Linked DNA regions of Sus scrofa. The protein of the gene in region 2 purifies or fractionates together with the protein of the main gene of each other region. This does not show direct contact. Links are inferred from orthologs where the notes say so. Each region holds a gene or a part of one and is shown on either strand. Other genes may lie near its edges. The genes, in order: FTH1 and NCOA4.

What was found.
Region 1: the proteins of NCOA4 (region 2) and FTH1 purify together in Homo sapiens (co-immunoprecipitation; 6 studies listed by BioGRID and IntAct, counting the BioPlex papers as one, with this or other methods). This does not show direct contact. The link is inferred for Sus scrofa from reciprocal best matches to the Homo sapiens genes NCOA4 and FTH1.

What each region holds. Positions count from the first base shown.
Region 1 is NC_010444.4:9,530,710-9,542,147, reverse strand, and holds FTH1 (ferritin heavy chain), read right to left. Parts: upstream 7,098-11,438; 5' UTR 6,808-7,097; coding exon 6,694-6,807; intron 5,177-6,693; coding exon 5,030-5,176; intron 4,716-5,029; coding exon 4,590-4,715; intron 4,492-4,589; coding exon 4,333-4,491; 3' UTR 4,169-4,332; downstream 1-4,168. UniProt on the Homo sapiens protein: Stores iron in a soluble, non-toxic, readily available form. Important for iron homeostasis. Has ferroxidase activity. Iron is taken up in the ferrous form and deposited as ferric hydroxides after oxidation. Also plays a role in delivery of iron to cells.
Region 2 is NC_010456.5:90,523,615-90,535,262, forward strand, and holds the start of NCOA4 (nuclear receptor coactivator 4), read right to left. Parts: upstream 7,689-11,648; 5' UTR 7,674-7,688; coding exon 7,458-7,673; intron 1,326-7,457; exon of another isoform or gene 1-1,325. UniProt on the Homo sapiens protein: Cargo receptor for the autophagic turnover of the iron-binding ferritin complex, playing a central role in iron homeostasis. Acts as an adapter for delivery of ferritin to lysosomes and autophagic degradation of ferritin, a process named ferritinophagy.

The DNA.
Region 1 (11,438 bases), on a different chromosome or scaffold from region 2:
CAATATCAGGTGGGAAGTGCCAGGGAGCCACTTCAGTGGGTAGAGGACCCCAAGTGCCAGGGCCTGCCTAAGTACTAGAATAGCTCTGGTTAATGCATCTGGATGCCTACTAAGTGCTGGGCATTATACTAAGCTCTTTATATACATTAGCTAATTTTTTTTTCTGTTCCAACAACTTTGATTTGTTATCGCCAGTTTTCAGATAATTAAGTCCAGGTTCAGAGAGGTCAAGTCAGTGCCCAAGGTCACATAGCTAGCAACCAGCACAGGTGGACCAGGTATGTCTGGTCCCAACACCACACTGCACTGGGTAAGGACTCTAAAAGCTCTGAGGGCCCTTAGGTGACTCCAGTCTAAATTGCCCATGTCCAGAGTTGGAAACTGAGGCTCAGAGAGCGAAGGGACTTACTCAAGGGCAGTCAGTGACTAGATGATGCAGCTGGGCTGTCAGGGTCTGGTTCCTGTCTCGGGTTGAGAAACTTTTTTCTGGAGTTCCCGTCATGGTGCAGTGGAAATGAATCCAACTAGGAATCACGAGGTTGCGGGTTCAATCCCTGGCCTCGCTCAGTGGGCTAAGGATCCTGCATTGCCATGAGCTGCAGTGTAGGTCGAAGATGCGGCTTGGATCTGGTGTTGCCGTGGCTCTGGTGTAGGCCAGCAGCTGTAGCTCTAATTTGACCCCTAGCCTGGGAACCTCCATATACTGCGGGTGTGGCCATAAAAAAGACAAAAGACAAAAAAAAAAAAGAAAGAACTTTGTTTTCTGACAAGCTGAGGTGTTTGAATGGGGAGTGAAAATGGAATTCCCAGGGTAAGGGAACAAGCAGGGGGCTGGGCCATCATAGCTGCATTCCAAGTAGACTTGGTGTGGAGTTCCTGTTGTGGCTCGGTGGGTTAAGAACCCAACAAGTACCCATGAGGACACAGGTTTGATCCCTTGGTCTTGCTCAGTGGGTTAAGGATCTGGCGTGGCTGCAGTGTAGATCACAGACACAGCTCAGATCTGGCATTGCTGTGGCTGTGGTGTAGGCTGGCAGCTCAGCTCCAACTGGACTCCTAGCCTGGGAACTTCCATATGCCCTGAGTGCAGCCCTAAAAAAAAAAAAAAGAGTAACTCGGGGCTACAGAGTATCAGCCTCAGGTCACCCACAGCAGCCAAACTTTTCTGCACATGGGTCTGATTTCCCTGATTTAGTCAGAATCTCTTTTGGGCTGTAGCTGGGCTGCCGTGGGCTAAAGGGTCATCCCAGATAGTTCTCTCTCTCCCCGGGATGACAGAGTAGAGCGGACTTTTGGAGAGTGTTTGCTGCATGTCAGGACACCATATCATCAAGGTTTTCTTCCAGAGTATTAAAAGCACTGTCCTAAGAAACGACCATCCTTTTAAGCTGTAATTAGAATTAGCTCAAGTCTCTCGTTGGTATGAGGAGGGTTCGGAAAAATGACCAGAGGGTCAGGATGGGGGCCTGCTTGGGCCAGAAACATTTCTGAGACTTCCCGTCATGGCACAGCAGAAAGGAATCCGACTAGGAACCATGAGGTTGTGGGTTCGATCCCTGGTCTTGCTCAGTGGGTTGGGGATCCGGCGTTGCTGTGAGCTGTGGTGTAGGTTGCAGACGTGGCTCGGATCTGGTGTTGCTGTGGCTCTGGCGTAGGCCGGTGGCTAAGGCTCCGATTAAGACCCCTAGCCTGGGAACCTCCATATGCCACGGGAGTGGCCCTAAAAAGACAAAAAGAAAAAGAAACATTTCTGGAGGTCGCCTCTGAGTCTCCATGGTGTGTCCTCCAGCAGCTGGGGAGGGTGGGTAACAGAAGAATAACACAGAGGCCTTGTCCCCGCAAAACACGCAATTCAGTGTGGGAATGCAACCCAAGGCCCCAACTCTGCATGCACGGTGCAGAGTATGAGAAGGGGTCAAAGAAAGTCGAGTCAGGCCTTGGGCCTTTGTCCCTCCACTCACCCCCTGGCTTCTTTCCAGTCTGGGTAAGGAGGACATGGAGTTCCAGCCGGAGGAGGAGGAGGAGGCGCACACCGGCATCCTTGGCCACTTCCTGGGGCTGCAATCCAGCGACCACCAGCCCCCCAGGACAAACTCAAAGACGAAACTCCTGTGGCCCAAGAAAGAAGGCCATTTCCACGAGGGCCACCCCAAGAACCTCAGGGGGGCCAGGCTGGACTCTAGCGACCAGGAAGACAGCAAGGCCTGGAGGGAGGGTGGCTTCAAGTCCGCTGCCCTGTGTGGGAGGCCGGGTTACCACAGCGCCCACAGACACCCTCGGCCACACCCCTATGGTCTTCCCACCCGAAGAGTCAGCGCCCTTAGGTCTTCGCAGAGTCTCGGGCATAGATGAGGCTGCCAAAGACCAGAGCCTTCAGCCTGCGACTCCCAGCATCAAGAAGAGTTTCGAGTTGCTCCCAGAGAGCGCCGAGGCCTCGGCGGAGCCCCTACAAGGGAGTCACGTGAGGAGGAAGACGGTGGAGTTTAACCTGGCCGATCTGTCGGAGGCCCCCGAACATCTCAAAGAACCGAATTTGGAGCCACCGATGGGCATACACGCTATAATCAAAGACCACCGGGATCCCTACTGGGCCTTGGAAAACAGGTCTGTCCTCTCCCTGAACCCAGGTCACTGAACCCCCGGGGTTCACCATGGGTGGGAAGCCTGCCTTTCTTCCACGATCTTCCTGTGGTCCTGCAGCTGCTAGGGACCTATGCCCAGCACCGGCTTGGGGCACACACCTGGCTGCCACACAGCAAGGGCCCCAGGGAAGCGCTGGGGACTGTGGCTCATCTCACCCAGGATCCTGACATCACCAGGCCTTCTCTGGGATGATGAGAGGCTGCACTGACAGGAATGCAGCTGAAGGGCCACCAGGCCAGGCTTAGATTGGCAGGATTTTAAGTGGACCCAGCTCACTTAAAGTAGGGGGTAAAGACACAGGAACATGGGCAGAATTGAGGGCTCCCGGCTGTAGCCCAAGAACTCAACTTGCTGGCCAGGCCTAGCTGGGGGGTTGCATGTGAGCCCTCCCCAACAACCACCAGCACTCCTGCAGAGGCCACCACACCCCTGGGAACTGGCCCAAGGTAGGGTGGAGGCATCCAGGTCTCTTGGGGGTATGTTACTGCTTTTGAGACCTCACCAAAAAGACTTCTGAATTTAAGTGAGCTCTTCGTGCTTCCTTTAGGTCAATCCAAAGCTGTGACAGTACCACCACGTTTCCCCTTGTTGCAGGTTCCCTGGACACTCATGCAATGTGTGAGTCCAGCCTGGCCCCCTTGAGGTTCTTGGGGTGGCCCGCGTGGAAATGCCTCCACCATGGAACATTCTAAGGAACTGTGTTAGAGCAAAGCAAAGTTCTTTTTTCTTAGCCCTACCCTCACCCCCAGTCATAATGTGGGAGGAAGTGTAACTTGCTATTTCTAGATTCTGTCATTCTCTGGTCAGAATGCACAGCTTTGTATTGAAAACTGAAACAAACCCACCACCTGTCGTGCTTCTAGGGCTGGACACTGGCTGGGTTAGGAGAGGCTATTAGGGATCCGTGGACAAGGCCACAGATGGCTCTGTAGGCTCCCACCACCACTCTGGTTAATACTCAAGATGCCTCCACCTCTGCCCTCCTACTGCAACAGTTTTTATATTGAAACAAAGCTACCTTTCCATGCTCATGTCAATTTTCTTGAATTCTCACTAGGGATGAAGCACACTCCTAGCCCGTTTCCCAAGGGGGATGCTTCACCGGCCTGGTCCCACCTGCGTGTACACCAGGACACTGATCCAGTCATAGCCATGTGGCTGTCCACACTGAAGAACACGTTCCTGTCAGCCTGAACCAAACAGCTTCGCAGAGAACAAAAATCAGTAGTTTCAAGACTGCTTGAAGCTTTAAAATGCCTTTTGTACATATAAATTTTTAAAGGCAGAACTGCTGGAAACATGTAACACCAAATACCTAATTCAGAACCAGGAGTGCTTAAAATCCTGTCTGAATCCAACACACCCAAGCCTTGGTGTCTTTCCCAAACTAAGGAATTTAATTAGTAAATAGATACAAATCCTCCTAAGCGTTTCATTTTGTTTGTGACTGAACCATGGCACTTACGAATTTACCAGTGATGGCCTAGGTACATTTCTAGCCAATCCCAAGAACTCAGACAACAGCTGGGTACCAAATTACTTTATTTGAAGGAATGGTACACTAAGGAAAGAACTGAAGTAGATGTTCTGGTAGGACTTATAGAAAAGGTGACGGTAACCCGAAACATGCATGCACTGCTTTGGTGACCAGGGGGGTCACCCCGTGTCTCCGGGAGGCCAGCTTAGGGCTTAGCTCTCACTGCTCCCCAGGGTGTGCTTGTCAAAGAGATACTCGGCCATGCCATACTCGGGGGCCCCCATCCTGTGCAAGTTGGTAATGTGGTCACCCAATTCTTTGATGGCTTTCACCTGCTCATCCAGGTAATGCGTCTCAATGAAGTCACACAACTGGAAAAGACAACGGGGAAGAGAGTTACTGGCGAGCCTTCCCAGGCCCCGAGGTAAATGACTTCCTCCTCCTCCTCCCAGGTTGCCTCAATACTCACGTGGGGGTCATTTTTGTCAGTGGCCAGTTTGTGCAGTTCCAGCAGGGACTGATTCACGTTTTTTTCCAAGTGCAGCGCACATTCCATGGCAGTCAGCCCATTCTCCCAGTCATCGCGCTCCGGTTTCTGAACGAGAAGGAGCCAAGTCAATGCACCTGCAGCCTCTACCTTTAAACCCAAGTCAGCAAGCACCTAACGTGTAAGCACTGTGCTTGGCGAAAGGAATATCCAAGCTTCCCCGACAACAGTTTCTATTTTACTATCCTTGCCCGTTACCATCTGCCCACTTTAGACGATAGGCCCACAACAGCACAAAAGCCACAAGCCACAAGCCCAACGTATCTGCGTCTTGATAAGAGCAACTGCTCAGGTCTGTGCCTTCTGCCACCTGAGGAGCGCCAGACACATCAGGCACGACAACCCTGGAATCTTTTGTTCACCTTGATATCCTGAAGGAAGATTCGGCCACCTCGTTGGTTCTGCAGCTTCATCAGTTTCTCAGCATGTTCCCTCTCCTCATGAGATTGATGAAGAAAGTATTTGGCAAAGTTCTTCAAAGCCACATCATCGCGGTCAAAATAGTATGACTGAAAAGTGAAAACAGGAGTCTGTGAGCCTAGGCTTCCTTTCTCAAAGCCCAGCAAGAAGGGGTCTGGGTCTAAGGAGATCAGAGCAGGCTGCGTTGCTGCATCGAACTAAACAGTCATTAGTTCTCACTCCTAAGGGCAAAAATGAAAAATGTTCACAAGGAGCATTTAGAATATCACAGGACTTGCCACCACCATGGAACATCCTCAGGATCTGTGTTAGAGCAAAGTTCTTTTTTCTTTTTTGGCCGCCTCTGGTCTGAGGAAGTTCCCGGGCCAGAGATCAGATGGGAGCCACAGCTGTGACCCTCATGAGAGTTGTGGCAGTGCTGGATCCCTAAAACCACTGTGCCAGGCCAGGGATGGAACCTAAGTCCCAACGCTCCAGACACACCGCCAACCCCATCGCGCCACAGCAGGAACTCCAAAGTTAAATTCTTACAGCCAGTGTCACATCTGGTCGAAGAGAGGAAAGTGGAGTATTTACTCCGCACTATTAGTGCTTCCTCCTTCTCCCTCCTTGATTAATCCATGTTAAAACATGAACTTGCCAGCTTACAGCCAGACCGATGCATTTCTAAAAGTACCCCACTAGGGAAGTAGACGGCTGTGGGCAACAATGTATATAAAGGCATAACAGTAGAAAGCAAAACTGGGTTCTTTTAGACCCTTGCTGGGTGTTCCTGAAATGGAAGGGCAGTCATAGAAATCCAGGCCAGTTCCAAACCCATCTGGTACCTGCCTATTCTTGGATGGTTTACGTAATGGTCAGACAATTCTACAACTCCTACCACACCGCCTAAAACCAGGAATTTGGAAAACTGACCCCTCTATGGAAAAAATGCCGGCCCTGTAACTGTGGATGGACTTTATCCAAGAACGAAGGGTTCGATTAGGCCCCAACCTTTAGACAAAAAGAATAAAGGAGGAGGTAGTCAGGCGCAAGGACGGGTGACTAAGACAACTGTGGCGGAAGGAGAGATTTCTAGAGATGTGCTTCAATTCAAGTGGGACTTGGCGATAAGCAGAGCAAACGGGTGGAGACGGCTGTTCGGGTGGTCAGCCCACTGGAGATAAAGCACTTCACACCAGCCCCCAGGGCTGCTATTCGACACCATTACCCAGCAGGCTCCGCCGTATTCTGGGGGATGGGAGCAGGACCTCTTCGCCTCCGCCCAGGATCACGTGATCGGATGCAGAGGACGGAATGGAAATGCGAAAATCCACCTTCCTAACTGCAGGATGGTACTGGCAGCAAGCGCGGCAAGGAAAAAAAAGGGGGAGGGGGGAGGGGGGTGGGCGGGCAGAGGCAGTCGGCCTACAAAGGGGCACTCCCAGGGGTCAGTCGGAAAGGGCCGACTCCTCGGAATTTCTGCGAAGTCCTGGGGGACCCGGAGCAGCCTCCATTTTCCAGAACCGCGCAGAGGCGGGAGGCGGGAGGCCCCGCCCGCTAGCCACACCCCGCCCCGCCGCCTCCGAGGCCGAGCCCGCCCCCCGCCGGCCAAGCCTGCGCTTACCATGGACAGGTAGACGTAGGAGGCATAGAGCTCCAGGTTGATCTGGCGGTTGATGGCCGCCTCCGAGTCCTGGTGGTAGTTCTGGCGCACCTGCGAGGAGCACGAGGTCGTCATGGCGGGAGGCTGAGGAGCGGTGGTGGCGGCAGCGGCGCGGGAGCGGTGGCGGTGGCCTTGGGGCGGTCCGAGGGCGCTGTGAAGAGGTGGCGAGGGCTGGCTCTGAGCGGCCGGCCGGGGCGGGTGACGAGCGCCGGGTTCCGTCCAAGCACTGTTGAAGCAGGAAACCGCAGCGACTCTCCGCGAAGACTGTGGCGCAGGTAGCGCTGGCCCGGCTCTTATATCGGCATCGGCCGTCCGCCCCGCCGCGGCCAATCACGCCGCCTGCCCGCCGCGCGGAGCCCCGCCCCTTCCGGTGGGTGCGGGCGGGGGTGGGGGGAGGCGCACTGGGATGGTGGGGGAGGGGAGGGAAGGGGTGGGGTGGCGAAGCCTGGGAGTCTTGGAACCCCGTCCCGCGCAGACGCCTTGAGGTGCGTTTCGTGGGATGAGAGAGACGACCTGAGCAAGGGCAGGAAGTCCAGCTCGGGGCTGTGACTCTATGACTCTCGGGGCTCTGACAGCCTGGGTTTTGCAACCGACGGGAAACCTTCCCTGGGGCGTCGAGGCTCTTGCAAGAGCCCAAGCGGGCACCCCGAGACTTATGGCCAAGGTCATGTTAAAAATCAGAGCGGTAGAGCTGCAGTTGCCACACTCCGAGGTGCCTGGTAATGCAAATAGGGAACCCGGAGAGTGAACGTGGGCCCGGAGTGAGGCAGAGGTCGGGCGGGGAAAGGGCCCTCTTTCAATTCCTCAAAACCTAGGAAGGGGCCCAAAGCAGGTGGGGTCGGGCCTCCTCCAGCTCTGGTGGCCCGGTCCGGCTTTGGCCGAAAGTGTACGTGGCTCCTCGTGCAGTTGCTACAACAAAGGCTGGGCGGGTCGTGTTTCCCCGAAAGACTGCCTTCCCGAGGGAGTCGTGAGCCACCAGGGTTCTGAGAAAATCGGCCGGTAGCTTACAACTCAGAGACCAAGGGGGTTAGAAAAGGAGGAAAGAAGCTGCTTGAATCTGAAAAGGATGCTGTGAGGCCATTTTGAAATGGCCGATCAAGCCCCAGGAGCTTCAGGCTCAGGCGGTTCTACAGGGAGCCACCCCCTGGGTTGTCCTTGGAGAGAAGCTGAAGGCGCGGAACATGAAGGACAGATGCCAGAGAACGTGGAGTGGCTGGGGCACTGTGTGTGGCTTGCAGCAGTGTCCCTGGCACTGAGTGGGTGCGAATTCGTGGGTGGCAGAACTGGAGCTAGGCAGACCCAATCTGCTGCCCCCAGGGTCCACGATTCTTAATCAGGCCCTTCAACACGTGGGTAGGGGACCTACCCAAGACCCTTTTCAGGATATTCACAAATGTCCAACTGTAAGCTGTACTTCTAAAAGCTTTACAACAAAAAATTAAAGGAACTTTACTAAAATAGGAAAACAAGTTGCTGGTGGAATTACAGCGATTTCTCTTGGGTCTTTATTCATTTCAAATGTACATATGTTACTTAAGGAAAAAAAATTTTAATGGGGCTAGGGCTGCAGACAAGAAATTAAGAAGGATGATGGGTGAATACCAAGGGTGCCTTACCCAGTCTGGGATAGGAGTTCAAGGAAGGCTGCCCTAAAGAGAGTGACATTTGAGGAGTTCCCGTTTTGGTGCAATGGCTAACGAATCCGACTAGGAACCATGAGGTTGTGGGTTCAATCCTTGGCCTTGCTCAGTGGGTTAAGGATCTGGTTTTGCCATGAGCCATGGTCTAGTTTGCAAATGCGGCTCAGATCCCAAGTTGCTGTGGCTGGGGTGTAGGCTGGCGGCTGTAGCTCCGATTGGACCCCTAGCCCGGGAACCTCCACGTGCTGTACGTGTGGCCCTAAAAAGATAGACAGACAGACAGAAAGAAAATGTGTTGGCCTGAAACTACAGTCCCTATTGGAGAAGTCTGGAAGGGTAGCATGCGGCAAGATCAGGAAGGGTTGGGGGCCCAAAAAAGGGGTTTAACTTTATCCTGAACATGGAAGCTCTAAAGAATATCTAGGAGTTCTCTTGTGGCACAGCAGGTTAAGGACCTGGTGTTGTCACTGCTGTGGCGTGGGTTGGATCCCTGGCCCTGGAACTTCCACAGGCAACAGGCATGGCCAAAAGGAAAAAAGAGACAAGGAAAGAAAGGATTTCTAGCTGGAGAAATACTATGTTTTGTTTTTAGAAACCTTACACTGAATCAACAGAAAAACTTTTGGGATAAGATTATGACAGAGTCACCAGATGCAAAGTTTTCCTATGTAACAGTAACTAGAAGTTAGAAAACATAGTGAAAGAGAAAAATGGCTTTCATTTCCATTGACAACAAAAGCTTAAAGTACCCAGGGATCAAGTTAACAAGAAGTGTGTGAAGAAAACCGTGTTTATTGCTGGACAGAATAACTTGCATAAATGAAGAGACGCCATGTTTCTAGATGGCCAATCTCAGTTTGGGAAAGACTTCCCACACCAACCTGTAAATTCAGGGCAGTTTCTGTAAAACTCAGTGGTCTTTCTGCAATTTGACAAAATGACTCTGAGGTTCACTTGGAAGAGTGTGTAGAAAAGCTGATAAGCATGGGGGGGGGGTTATGAGGGTAGATTTGCCCTCCCTGATACTAAAAAAAAAAAAAGTAGTATAAAATATTTACTTGGTATGGAGTTCCTGTCGTGGCTCAGTGGTTAACGAATCCCACTAAGAACCATGAGGTTGCAGGTTCGATCCCTGGCCTCGCTCAGTGGGTTAGGGATCCGGCGTTGCTGTGAGCTGTGGTGTAGATCGCAGACGCAGCTCGGATCCCATGTTGCTGTGGCTCTGGTGTAGGCCGGGGGCTACAGCTCTGATTCGACCCCTAGCCTGGGAACCGCCATATGCCAAGGGTGAGATCCTAGAAAAGACCAAATAAAATAAAATATTTCATTGGTACTGGTGTAGGAAGAGCTCAGTAAATCAATGCAACTAAATGGTCTAACCCCCATAAGAACAGGAACTTGGTCTGCTAAAGTGGCATTTCAAATTAGGAGAGAAAAAACATTCAACAAATGGTGTTGAAACAATTGAGTCATGTGGGGGAAGATGACTCACTCTGTATTTCAAAATACCTTTCAGAGGGATTAAAGGTCCAAGCCTTAAAAACAACCTATAAAGTTATTCGAAGGCTATGTATAAGATTACCTTTTAGAACAGTGGGGTAACGAGTATTCTTCTGAGGCTGTCAAAAGCCATAAAAAGAAGGCAGTTGGCGGATGTGATTACTTAAAAATGAAAAATCATGGTGAATGATCGGTTTGGCAACACGGAGGGTGGGAGACTTTGGGCTGCGGGGGAGCCAGAGTGACCCCTACCCGCCCCCCCAGCCCGTCCCCGCCAACACACGCACCTCCCTGGAGACGATGCCCAAACACAAAGAACCAACTATAGAACTGGCTGGAAGAAAAAAGGCCAAGTCTTCAGAATATAAACCATTTGCCAAAGCAAAGAATATCAATGACACTGTGATTCCTGAAAGAGCTCCGAAAGGTAACACATTGCAAAGCGGAACGTACTAGAGCACCGTGGTTATTAGGTGCATTTGATTACAGGAAAGAAATGAATTTAAAACAGAACTGGCCTCTTTGCAAGTGGAAAGAAGAGGAAAAGAGGGAATCCAAAATTTCTGGGACTTGTATTGAAGTTAGAACACTTGGTCTTTTTCAACCAGTAAAAAATAAAATCCGGAAATATTTTGAGGGAGTTCCCTCATGGCTCAGCCTGTTACAGATCCCGTGTTGTCACTGCTGTGGTGCAAGTTTAGACTCCTGGCCTGGGAATTTCTGCATACCGTGGGCGCAGCCAAAAAACAAACGAACAAACAAACAAGAAATACTTTTGAGTAACAAAGGCTGATTAAGGTGAAGCCTCAGGGTAAGGACCAAATCAAGGGCATGGCTGTCACACTGTTAAAATATATGAATACATTAAGGCAGTCTCTAGTAAGTTCTTTCAGTTGGACAAAGCACTCAGGGAAAAAGAACAAAGGGTGTGATCCCTCATAAGCTTGATAAATTCAAAATATGTAGAGTTACATCTTTGAGAAAGGCATTCTAGGAAAAAAAAATTTTTTTTTTTCGTCTTTTTAGGGCCGTATAGATGTTCCCAGGCTAGGGGTTGATTCTGAGCTATAGCCACTGACCTACACCACAGCCACACCACCACCAAATCCTAGCCACATCTGTACAACCTACACCATAGCTCACCACCACACTGGATCCTTAACCCACTGAGCAAGGCCAGGCATCGAACCTGTGTCCTCATGGATGCTGGTCAGATTCGTTTCCAAGAGCCAGGACAGAAACTCCTTAGAAAAGAATTTTGAGGGGTTCCCATTGTGGCACAGTGGAAATGAATCGGAGTAGAAATCCTGAGGTTGCGAGTTCGATCTTTGGCCTCGCTCAGTGGGTTAAGGATCTGGCATTGCTGTGAGCTGTGGTGTAGATTGCAGAAGCGGCTTGGATCCTACGTGGCTGTAGCTGTGGCTGTGGTGTAGGCTGGCACCTATAGCTCCGATTTGACCCCTAGCCTGGGAACCTCCATCTACCGTGGGTGCAGCCCTAAAAAAGCAAAAAAAAAAAAAATTTTAATATAGTTACTGGGCTGTGAAGCTGACTGGAATCAAGTAA
Region 2 (11,648 bases):
TCAATAGGTTGACTGAGCACCCAACCAGATGTCAAGCTCTATTCTAGATGCTGGGAATACTAGCACCAGTAATGAACAGGAAAGTCCTACCTACGCGGAGAGACAGTAATACATAGTAGTTAAGAGAATTGACTCTGGAGCTAAACTGTTTAGGTACAAAACCTGGCTCTGCCATTTAGATACTGTGTAACCTTAGGCAAATGCCTTAACCAACCTATGCCTCAGTTTCCCCATCTGTAAAATGAGGACAATAATAATGGACCCAACTCAATGAGAATTATATGTATATATATTAAAAAATGCTTAGTGCCTGGCACACAGTACTTCCTGTCTGATGATTAGCATGCTCATGATACTACTAGTCTGACGCTCTTTTCTCCAAAAATAATCCTTATAGCCTATATATCCAATCAGGCCAGAAGACAAACTCTACATAGCATTGTTATTCCCTTTAAATCAATTTTTAACATAAAATACTTGCTCTTGTCTATGCACATGAAGCTATTTTCATAAACAGTGAGAGCAAAGCAAAACCACTTGACAAAAGCAAAGGCCACCAGACACTAAAGACCATCACCCTGAATTAAGCATTCCTCAGAGTTCAGATGAATCTGAAATGGAAGCTCCTGTTTTAACTGTGATGCACAGTTTCTGGGATCCCTTTTCAGATATTCACCACCGAAAATGAGAAAATAATGTCTCTCTTAATTCAATATATTTTCATTGGATAACATACTTCATGAAGATACAAAAAAAGCTAGACATCTCTGAATGATGAAAGTTAAATTCTGATGGCCCTTTGTATTTTGTCAATGGCTAGAAAGAAGGAATTCTGTCTATAAAAACATAATTAATGTCAAAACTGTCATCTCTCTTTCATATGTTCCAACAAAATAGTCACAATGTAAACTGAGAAAGAACTTTGTTGACCATCACCTATATATAACCAGTGGTCTCTATGTCCTCTCTAAAGGATCCTGACCAGTGCCACAGCACGCTAAATGCTCCAGCTCTCCTTCACTTGAACTAATTTATACAGTTACTGAGATTCAGTGTTATTCCGTCAGTTTATGACAGCTTTAGCTGTTACTATAATGACATGATTTATTAAATAATGTATAAACATAAAAAGACTGGAAAGGGGAAAAAATCATAAAAATCTAGAAGAATTCTGCATTCAGACCACTTTGCAGGCACTTCTTTACTCCCTTAAGTTCCATTATTTGCCCTTACAATTTTATGAAAAGTTTAGTTTCTAAAGAGGGAAAAAGTCATATGGCATTTTACCTCTCTTCTGCTTCAAGATTTCTGTGCTGGAGTTCCCGTCGTGGTGCAGTGGTTAACGAATCCGACTAGGAACCATGAGGTTGCAGGTTCGGTCCCTGCCCTTGCTCAGTGGGTTAACGATCCGGCGTTGCCGTGAGCTGTGGTGTAGGTTGCAGACGCAGCTCGGATCCCGCACTGCTGTGGATGTGGTGTAGGCCGGTGGCTACAGCCCCGATTAGACCCCTAGCCTGGGAACCTCCATATGCCGCGGGAGCGGCCCAAGAAATAGCAAAAAGACAAAAAAAAAAAAAAAAAAAAAAAGATTTCTATGCTATCTCAAAACAAGAGAATCATCCATTTCCTAGTAGATTAGTAGATCATCTCATCTAAAGACAGCATAAACTACAATTCTCCAGTGTCTCCCCACCTGTCTACAAGTCCAAATAAATTTCTTTAATAAATAAAGTTGTCTACAGAGTTCTCGTCATGGCGCAGGGGTTAACGAATCCGACTAGGAACAATGAGGTTGCGGGTTCGATCCCTGCCCTTGCTCAGTGGGTTAACGATCCAGCGTTGCCGTGAGCTGTGTAGGTCACCGATGCAGCTCGGATCCCACATTGCTGTGGCTCTGGCGTAGGCTGGCAGCTACAGCTCCGATTAAACCCTTAGCCTGGGAACCTCCTTATGCCGCAGGAGTGGCCTAAGAAATGGCAATAAAAGACAAAAAAATAAAAAAATTAAAAAAAAAATAAAGTTGTCTGGCTTCTGGCTTCAGCCTGCTCTCTTGCTATTTCCTCAGAGCAACCCCATACCGTGATCTTCTGGACAGCTGTTCCATGCATAGTCCAGGCTGGTTCGCCATGTCCACCTTGGCTTTCCCAGCTCTCTCTGCCAGCAATGCCAGTTCCTTCCCTTCTCCCCACCTGTCTGCTTTTCCACCGATGCTTAAGTCACCACATTATTAAGCCTTTCCTGACCAAGCATCTCACTCCTCAATACTTTGGGCAAATAGAGTTAGCTGCTGCCTCCTCTGGCCTCACTGTAATCTGTATAAGTTTCCAGCATACGTGTATAACATATGTTACCCTCACTTTACATGTCTGCCTCCTTAGCCTGAGAGGTCCCAGAGAGAACCAACCATGCATTATTTGCCTATGTACACCCTAGTGCTCAACAAACAGGTACAGGTATCTTGGAACTACCAACCTCCTTGACATTCTATGCACTCTACTGAACTGACATAAAGAGAATGGCATCCCTGGAGCTGTGCAGTGCTGTAGCCCTCAACTCACCAGAGGCTTAATATGTGTTTGATAAATGGATGGATGAATAAATGATAAATGAATGCTCAAGTTCAGACCAGCCACAATAAGGATAGTATGGTTCTGCTTCAAATGTAAGTAATCAACTTGATGTTCCACTAAGGTCTGCATTAATTCAGAAAGGTTTTTCAGAGGTGGAAATGTTTCTAACATTAACTGTAACTTATAGTTTTCTTTCAAAGATAAAGCTAGCAAGGATATTGCTACTGAAACTACCATTCCAGGACAGGCATTGAGATAGTGTCTTTCCTGAAGCCAGACCCATCAAAGCTCATCGATACAGATTCACAAACAGCAGCTGATTTGTGAGTTAAAAGGGAAACATTAACTGTATTTACAGCCAAGTCTGGATTTTTTTTCCCTCAGAGTTTGCAGTACCACAGAAATTCCAGCTGACATTACAGAAGTCTGGTAGGCTTTCATAACTTGGGCTATGCCTTATCTTCAACTTGACACTTCTTCATAATACAGCCAAGGTTACATAAACATGTTATTTATCTACCACCACAGTAATATTTTATTCTTGACTTTATATGGTAAGCATCTTGTAGTTTTCCCCCATAGGAGTAAGCAAGTGATAAAATATTTCCCCTCCTCTAAAGCCTAGGGGACTAATAATAAAGCCAAAATGAAACTCAAAATATCCCCAAGATCATATTCTTATGAAATTTTTAATTACCCAAGTATGAAAATACTTCTTGTCTTTGATCAACCCACAATAAAAACCTTTTAATCTATTTTTCCAGTTACTCACTCCTTCACTGAACAAATCTTCACGTTTGTAGAGCACTCGAGGCAATGCTAGATAAGAGGACTATTTGGCCTCAAAAGTGCCCCCAGGGAGTTCCCTGGTGGCTCAGAGGGTTAAAGAGCTGGTGCTGTCACTGCTGTGGCTATTTACTGCTGTGCTGTGGGTTCAACACCTAGTCCAGGAACTTGTGCATGTCACAGGCATGGCCAAAAAGAGAAAAGTGCCCCCCAAACATACTCCTAGCCTCAAAGAACATCTTGATTCTACTGCATAATGAAGCCAAGCAAAATCAGGGATGATGACTTAGGATAAGAATGGCTAAGAGAGTTAGAATGAAGCGTTCGTATCAGAAGCTAAGTAAAATGAACACCCTCAGAATAACTTTCTGTTTACTTGCCAGTGACTCTATCTAGTTCAAAGAGTGAGGATGACACCCCAGGATCTGAGGTATTATAGGCAAGGTGGAAAGTTTGTAAACTTGACTATAATGTTACAATTTAACAAGCAAAGAGGACAAGCTGAGAAGGACTATATGGCAGCTCCTCTAACTGACAAGTATAGAAACACTATTAAAGCAATTCATCAGAGCAAAAGTGGTCAGCTTGGTCCCCTATCAGCCTAGGCCATCTGCTTGTTCCTGTCTTCTATGTTGCAATAGTGTACTTAGACACACAAATACTGAAAACAAAGCCAAAATGAAAACCCAGAATAAAGTTTTAAGAGGACCAAAAAAGTAGCATTAAGAGTAATAAAACTAAGGTTCCCCGTCCTGGCTCAGGAGAAACGAATCTGACTAATATCCACGAGGAAGGACGCAGGTTCAATCTATGACCTGGCTCAGTAGGTTAAGGATCCGGTGTTGCCATGAGCTGTGGTGTAGGTTGCAGACACAGCTAGGTTCTGGAGTTGCTGTGGCTGTGGTGTAGGCCAGCAGCTACAGCTCTGATTCGACCCTTAGCATGGGAACTTCCATATGCCGAGGGTGCAGCCCCCAAAAAAAAGACCAAAAAAAAAAAAAAAAAAGTAATAAAACTCCCATAGAATCTAGAATCTACAGTTCCTTCAGTTAACTGAACTTAACCTAATACATATATGTTGGTTGGTCTCTTATTATAATCACTTTAGACTTGCAACCTAACCAGTTTGTATCCAGGGACAGAGTTCACTGACTTCAGTAACACTGAGAAAGTGCTCTCCATTCCAGTAGTACATTCCACTGTGTATCCTGCATAGTGACAAGTTCTTGTTCTCTGAGTCTGAGTATAGTTTTCTGGAAAGAGTCAAAGATTAATATATGCAAACCACTTACAATAGTGCCTGACACACAGTAAGAGATATAGATATTAGCTATTTTCATTACTTTTGATAAGAGAATGGGGTATGATAATAAAGCAAGACATTTTAGGTAGTTCATCAGTGAAATAAGTCACCCTCATCTCTCTCCAGTGTTCCTGCAGAAACTTCATTACTGCTGCCCACTCCTCCTCTCCTATGCTCACTCAGTCCAGTCACAATGGCCTCTTTGCTGCTCCTCCAACATACCAATGATGCCTCATGGCCCTGGCATTTTCCTCCAGATATGGTGCACTCTCCTTCTCATCCTTAGAGTAATCTTCTTCACTATCCCATATGAAATAAGTCTTCCTTCCACATATTCCCCCTTAATATATTTTTTAACTACCTTCATAGTATTTTTCACAATCAGACATGTAGAAACTATCTATTTTTCTAAACGCACTTCAGAAAACACACTGGAAGGTATGTTCCACACAAGTTGGACTTTCTCTTTTTGTTCATTTTTATTTTTATTTTTTGGCCTTTTAATTTTTTTGTCTTTTTAGGGCTGCACCCGCAGCATATGGGGAGGTTCCCAGACTGGGGACCGGTCGGAGCTGTAGCAGCCGGCCTACATCACAGCCACAGCAACTCAGGATCCAAGCTGCGTCTGCAACCTATACCACAGCTCACGGCAACAGCAGATCCTTAACCCACTGAGTGAGGCCAGGGATCAAACCCGAGTCCTCATGGATGCTAATGGGGTTTGTTAACTGCTGAGCCACACAAGGAATTCCTCTTTGTATTCATTTTTATACAGTGGTGTTCAGTAAATATTTGTTGGAAAAATGAATTCAGGAAGTATTTAATATATCTATGTGCCAAACTTTTATTTTTACACATTATCTCATTTAGTCCTCACAAAACTTTAAGGTACTTATACATTATCCATCACAATTTTAAAAACAAAGAAACTACGGCTTGACAAGGTTAGATATATTACTTAGAGTCACAGGCTTCCAAGTAAAAGAAGCAAGATTTAATCCTAGATTTGAGTCTAAAGTCTCCAACCACACTATGTTTGTTGAAGGGATCATTTAAGTACTAAGATTTTAGGCATTCATTCAACAAATATTTACTGAGTGCCTCATACTGTGATAGTCCCTGAGGATATAAGCATCTAGAGGAAAATTTGTGCCACTGATTCACCAAAAACTAAGAAAAAAAAGGAAACTTTGAAATAAGAGACAGATTTAGAAGTCCTTCTGCAACAATGACTGGTTCTGACTGCCCTCCAGTATGCTAACACTTACTCTACAAGGGAAATTATCATACAACACTAGCTAAGAAGCTGGGGTGGAGGAACGTGTTATCAGAATAGCCTGTGCAGTTTTATGAAGCCCCTCCACAGGTTTCTGAGATTCTGGCACAGCTAAACTGACTTAATCTTAATAAAATGGGGGTGAGGCAGGGAGCCTTATGTAATTCTAAAATAAGAACTCTTCTCCCTCTTTGAGAATCACATCTTCCTTTCCCTACATAGCTTACCATACTTCTCCACTTTTGAAATACCTGTAATGTAACTGTAGAAGTTTATTTAGACACAAAATACAGTATCATAAAACTTTAGATCATTTTCACAAAAGTTCCATAGAGAAAGGGGAAGGAGAAATAAAATGTAAGAAATGTTACTGTGCTAGCCTTTACATATATCATCATACCTACTTAACAAATCTGCAAGCTAGCAAACTTTGAAAGAGCAACCAAGTAACTTGCCTGAAGGCACATGCACCACACCCTCACCTCCATTTGGGTGAGTCTTCCTCAAAGGCTCCGAGGTTTTTTAAAGTTCAGAAATGTCACACCAAGACATTTTTGCAGAAATGAACCAATTATGATTTCCTGCCCCATCCTAACCCAGTAAGGCTCAACAGTCCCTACAACCATATGTCCGTATTATCAGGTGGGCGGTGGAAACAGTTACGCGATGGGGAACCTTACCCTGATTAGGAAAAAAAAAAAAAAACACAAAAAGGCGAAAAAAGCTCTGCCTTTGTGGGTCAAATAGCCTGCAGCTCTCTGCCTTTGGCCATTCTTGATCGCATCATCCCATGTTGTATCATGTGGCACTTAAGACTATTTATGAATATTGTTTCTGCTACAAGAATTTATTTCCATGAGAATAAGGTCTGTGCCCACTCTTTTTTCATTGCCATATCCTCAACATCCTGAACATATAGGCACACTATAAGTGACTGTTGGTGGAACTGGCAAGCCTCGCTCTTCTCAGCTATAAAAAGGAGGTAATCAAGCTACCTCTTGGTATTGTTGGGCGAATTACATTCACCTTACAGTAAAACACTGTGTTGGCAGGTAGAGGGCCGAAAAAAATATTATCTTCTTTGAGCTCCCACCCAACAGGCTATGTTCTGGAAAATGGGCCTCTCCCCTCTCCAAAAGACCCAGGCGAGAGCGAGCAAAAACCTGAAGCTGTCACACCCGGGGCGCGGGGGGGAAGGCGGGCGGACAAGCAGGGGGAGGTGGTCCCCAGGCCAGCTTGTCTAAGGCCGAAGAGGCGGAGGACAGGCCGGGGCCGGGAAGGGAGAAAGAAGTGGTCCTCGGGCCAAGAGAGGCGAGGGCCGGGGAGAGAACAGGCCCTGGCCGGCGGGCAGGCAAGAAGACGTGGCCCCCGGGTCGGGCGGGTCTAAGGAGAGGCCAGCCTTTAAAGGTAGGCCCAGACAGGGCCGGGCTGGTCCAACAAGCAGTCATGGCTCCCCAAACCGACCCGCCACGTGAGAGCGGTAGGAGGCAAGCTCGCCCCGGGGCCCCCCTCCGGTTCTTACCACCTCTGAGCGCGGCTCCCGGCGATCCGAGGAGACCTTGGCGGACTGAGACGCGGCCCAACACGAGCCAAGGTCTGAAAGGCAGAGTTCTCGCGAGAACACAACCTTCTTCTCAAGTCTCTTATCACAAATTTGACAGTCTCGCGAGATCTCTACTAGGGTCTGCCCAAGGTCCTTGCCTGCCCTCCACAGGGCGCAGGGGGTAGGCGCATACATTTTCCTGGGCCCCAAAGAATAAGATTAAAGGAGAGAAACGTTTGTGAAGGCAAGCTGTTAGGAGGACTATCCTGAGTGATTCTCTCACACCAAATGTCCTCACGATGTAGATATTTTTTTAGCCTTAACGTACATATGCAGAAGTAAATGTCAGAAACAAAAGGACAAATAGATGATTCCGTTTATATGAGGTACTTAGAATAGTCATAGTTATAGAGACAAAATAGTAGTTGCCACAGGCTTGGGGAAGAGGAATTATTGTTTAATGGGTACAGACTTTTAGCTTGGGATGATGGGAAGTTCTGGGTATGGATAGTCACACAGCAATTCGAATGTACTTAGTACCACTCAACTGTATACGTAAAAATGGTTAAAATGGTTATATATATGTAGTGACCAGATATTAAAATAAGAACCTTTCTGTCCCAGTTTTGACAGAGGTTCCCATTACTAACTAAGTGCTACCCAGCAAGGTGAAAGACCATCTGAGTAGGATTTGTGAAGGAGATGATCATAAAAGTGCAGCCTCTCACCCAAGAACATCAGCGGGCAAGGCTCTCTCAGCAAAAAGCAATAGGAAACATAGGTTTAGATGCACACGCTAAAAGGGCAGTCATAGGCATAGCATACTTTTAAAGCTCCTGTTCCTCATTCCTTCTTCAATTCAAATGCAGATTCTGGAACAAGGCGACTTTTTTTTTTTTTTTTTTTTTTTTGCTTTCTAGGACCACACTTGTGGCATGTGGAAGTTCCCAGGCTAAGGGTTGAATCAGAGCTGCAGCTGCGGGCCTACATCACAGCCACAGCAACGCAGGATCTGAGCCGCATCTGCGACCCACACCACAGCTCATGGCCACAATGGATCCTTAACCCACTGAGCGAGGCCAGGAATCGAACCTCATGGACAATAGTCAGGTTTGTTACCACTGAGCCATGACGGAAACGCCAAAGGTGCATTTTTATTATCTTAGGGTGACCAAAATCCAGGATATGCCTAGATTGTTCAACTAGCCCACATAGCATGTTTGCATAGGTAGGGTTATCGGGCAGAGGGGAAGTAAAATCTCTTTACCGATTGCCCACAGATTGTCCAACAGAGAACTGTTTGCTTGTTTGTGATCTGTCACATACACACACACACACAACTCTAAGCTTCAGGAGAGCAGAGACCTGGTCTCTCTGGTTCAGTACTGTATCCCCAGGCCCAAAGCACTGCCAGGCACTTAGTAAAGACCTCTTCAGTGAACAAACGTTCTCTAACACAGAAAGAGCACGAGATGATCAGCGTTGTCACTGTTTTAACTCCCTAAATTTTAAAAACCATTACAGAGCTCTGCCTGCAAGCCGTTTCCCATCCACAAGGCAAGATCCCTGGCTTTTTAACACCCCATTGGGCTGTATGTGCTCTTGGAGGCACTTCTTCCAGGTTGTCCTGCTCTAACCTCAGGCAAACACAGATGTATATGAGGGACACAGCAAGGAGGACACTCTCTGAAGAACAAAAAGGAAGGGTAAAAAAGAAAACCTCAAAGAAAATAAAGGATCTGATTTCATCTCAAAGACCCATTTTTTTGAATTGTTCACCAAATAATGGGATGCTGGGGCATCAGAGTGAAGATATATCAGAAGCGAGAGAAGTAACAGCAGCCCTCTGAGTAGGGGATGCTCAGTGATCTACTGGCGTGGAGGGAAGATGTTATATCTTTCATTCACATTTATTTTTGTCTCCTTTAAAATGTTTGCATGCTTTAAAGGTGTGTTATATAAATGCATACATAATTTATAAATTAAAAGTACAGACATATTCAAGTGTTTGCTCAAGAATTTTTTACTAATAGGTAGGGTTGTACAATCATAGACAGTTAGAGGCCATAGGAGAATGAGGCCTGGCATGGGAGAACTTGGGCCCTCTCAGGCTGAGAGCTCTGGGCCCACTAGAAACACATTATAATACCCATCCAGTGACATCACAGGTCTTTCCTGGGTCCTTCTTTTCCACCACTGTATAGGTGCAGGTCTTCTTGTTCAAGATTTTCTGACACTTATTTGTGTCATAACCCGTAGGTATGGCAGCACTGTCATTGAGACAAGAATAAGAACTGTTAGAAGGAATAGGATGCCCAGCCTTCCCAGGGCCAGCTCTGTGCTGGAAGCAGCCCACAGTCTAGGTCCCTGGAATGCCCCCCACCAACTAAAGGTCACCCCTTGACTGGCACCCCAAGGTACCACCTTCAGGACCCTGCATCCAAATACAGATAACCAGGGCTATGAACACAGACCTCCCAGACATTATTGCTATATTCCACCCCTGCACACACAGGACTGTGGCAAGTTCTGACAGGCCCAGAAGTAGGTCTGAGCTCCTCTGAGGCCAGGCAGCTTGCTCCAGCCTGACTCTTCTTACTTTCCCTGCTCAAGAGGTAGCCAACAGTACTACTGCTTAAATATGGGACAGAATTGGTTGTCCCAACCCTGACATGAAGGAGCTGGCTCAGCTCCAGATAGGGACCTTATGTGCTCAGTCACTCCAGGTAGGGACCACAGAGCCCAAGGAGAAGCTGATGAAGACTGAAAACGAGCTCCCCAGGAAAATAAACCCACACATTCAAGGCTGCAAACAATTTTACGGCTCCACTTTCCCCCTGAAACTCATCCATAAAACCCAGATTAAATTGTCCATCCCCAAAGTATACACTGAACAGCCATCCCAAGGCCCTTTGTGACAAATGCTTCCTTCCAAAAGGTGACCCTCGATTACTTTAACAAAAGAGGACTTTTCAATCCTCATCCCAAAGGGAGGACTGGAAGAAGCTTTCCCAGGGTACTTGGGGTGGGTGGCTAGAGCAACCTGGGCCACCAGTCTCAGGCTCAATTGCCACTGGGCAGCTTGAGATCTGAACAGTGTCCCCAAGAGAGTACAATGGGTTAAGAAATTCTCCCATAGAAAATTTAACCAAAAAATGTATTTGGCTATTGTTAAAAACAAATTATGAGAAAAACTTGGTAGGTGATGAGGAAATTATGAGGGAAAGAAACTGGCAGCTCTGAGCAGTACAGAAAATGTGCACATTTCCTCTGCGTGGAGCAGTGTGCTAAGCAGGAAAGGAAACATGACAGGAAAGAGGGAAGGGGCTCTTTGGGCCCCAACTAGGAGTCAGTTACTGTCCCAGGCTCAAGAGACATATAGCTGGCATTGAGAAGGCATCAATTTTTTTTCTTTATCTTTTTAGGGCCACACCTGCAGCATATGAAGGTTCCCAGGCTAGGGGTTGAATCTGAGCTGTAGCGCAGGCCGACGCCAGAGCCATAGCAACCCGGGATCCGAACTGCATCTGTGACCTACATCACGGTTTGTGGCAACACCAGATCCTCAACCCACTGAGCAAGGCCAGGGATTGAACCCGCGTCCTCATGGATGCTAGTCAGATTCATTTCCACTGAGCCATGACAGTAACTCCTGAATAGTGTTTCAATGAATGTATATTTTCAAAAAATGTTTCACTGTGTGTGTATACATATTTACATATCCTCTAAATTTCCAAAAATAATGTTTTACTATATATATATATACATAGTATTTCACTATATACATACATATATACACAGTAATATGTATACCATATTTCACCGTAAATATGTATATATATTCGGTGAAATGAAATGTTATTCAGTCTTTAAAAGGAGGGAAATTCTGAGACATGCTATAACTTGGATGATCCTTGAGGACATTATACTGAAATATACCAGTCTGAGGATTCAGAATGAGTCTCCCTAAAATGTGCCACTTTTGCATGAGCATTATTTTGAGCTACAAGCAATAGACAGCCTGCAGATTTAAAAGAAATTACTGCCCACCAGCCCACTATCTAGTAAGAATTTAAATTGAGGATTCTTCCCAGAAAAGAGTTATTGCCAGAGATAAATTGTACCTAAGTGGCTGCATGTATATGTCAGGGTAAACATCTAATTACCTAG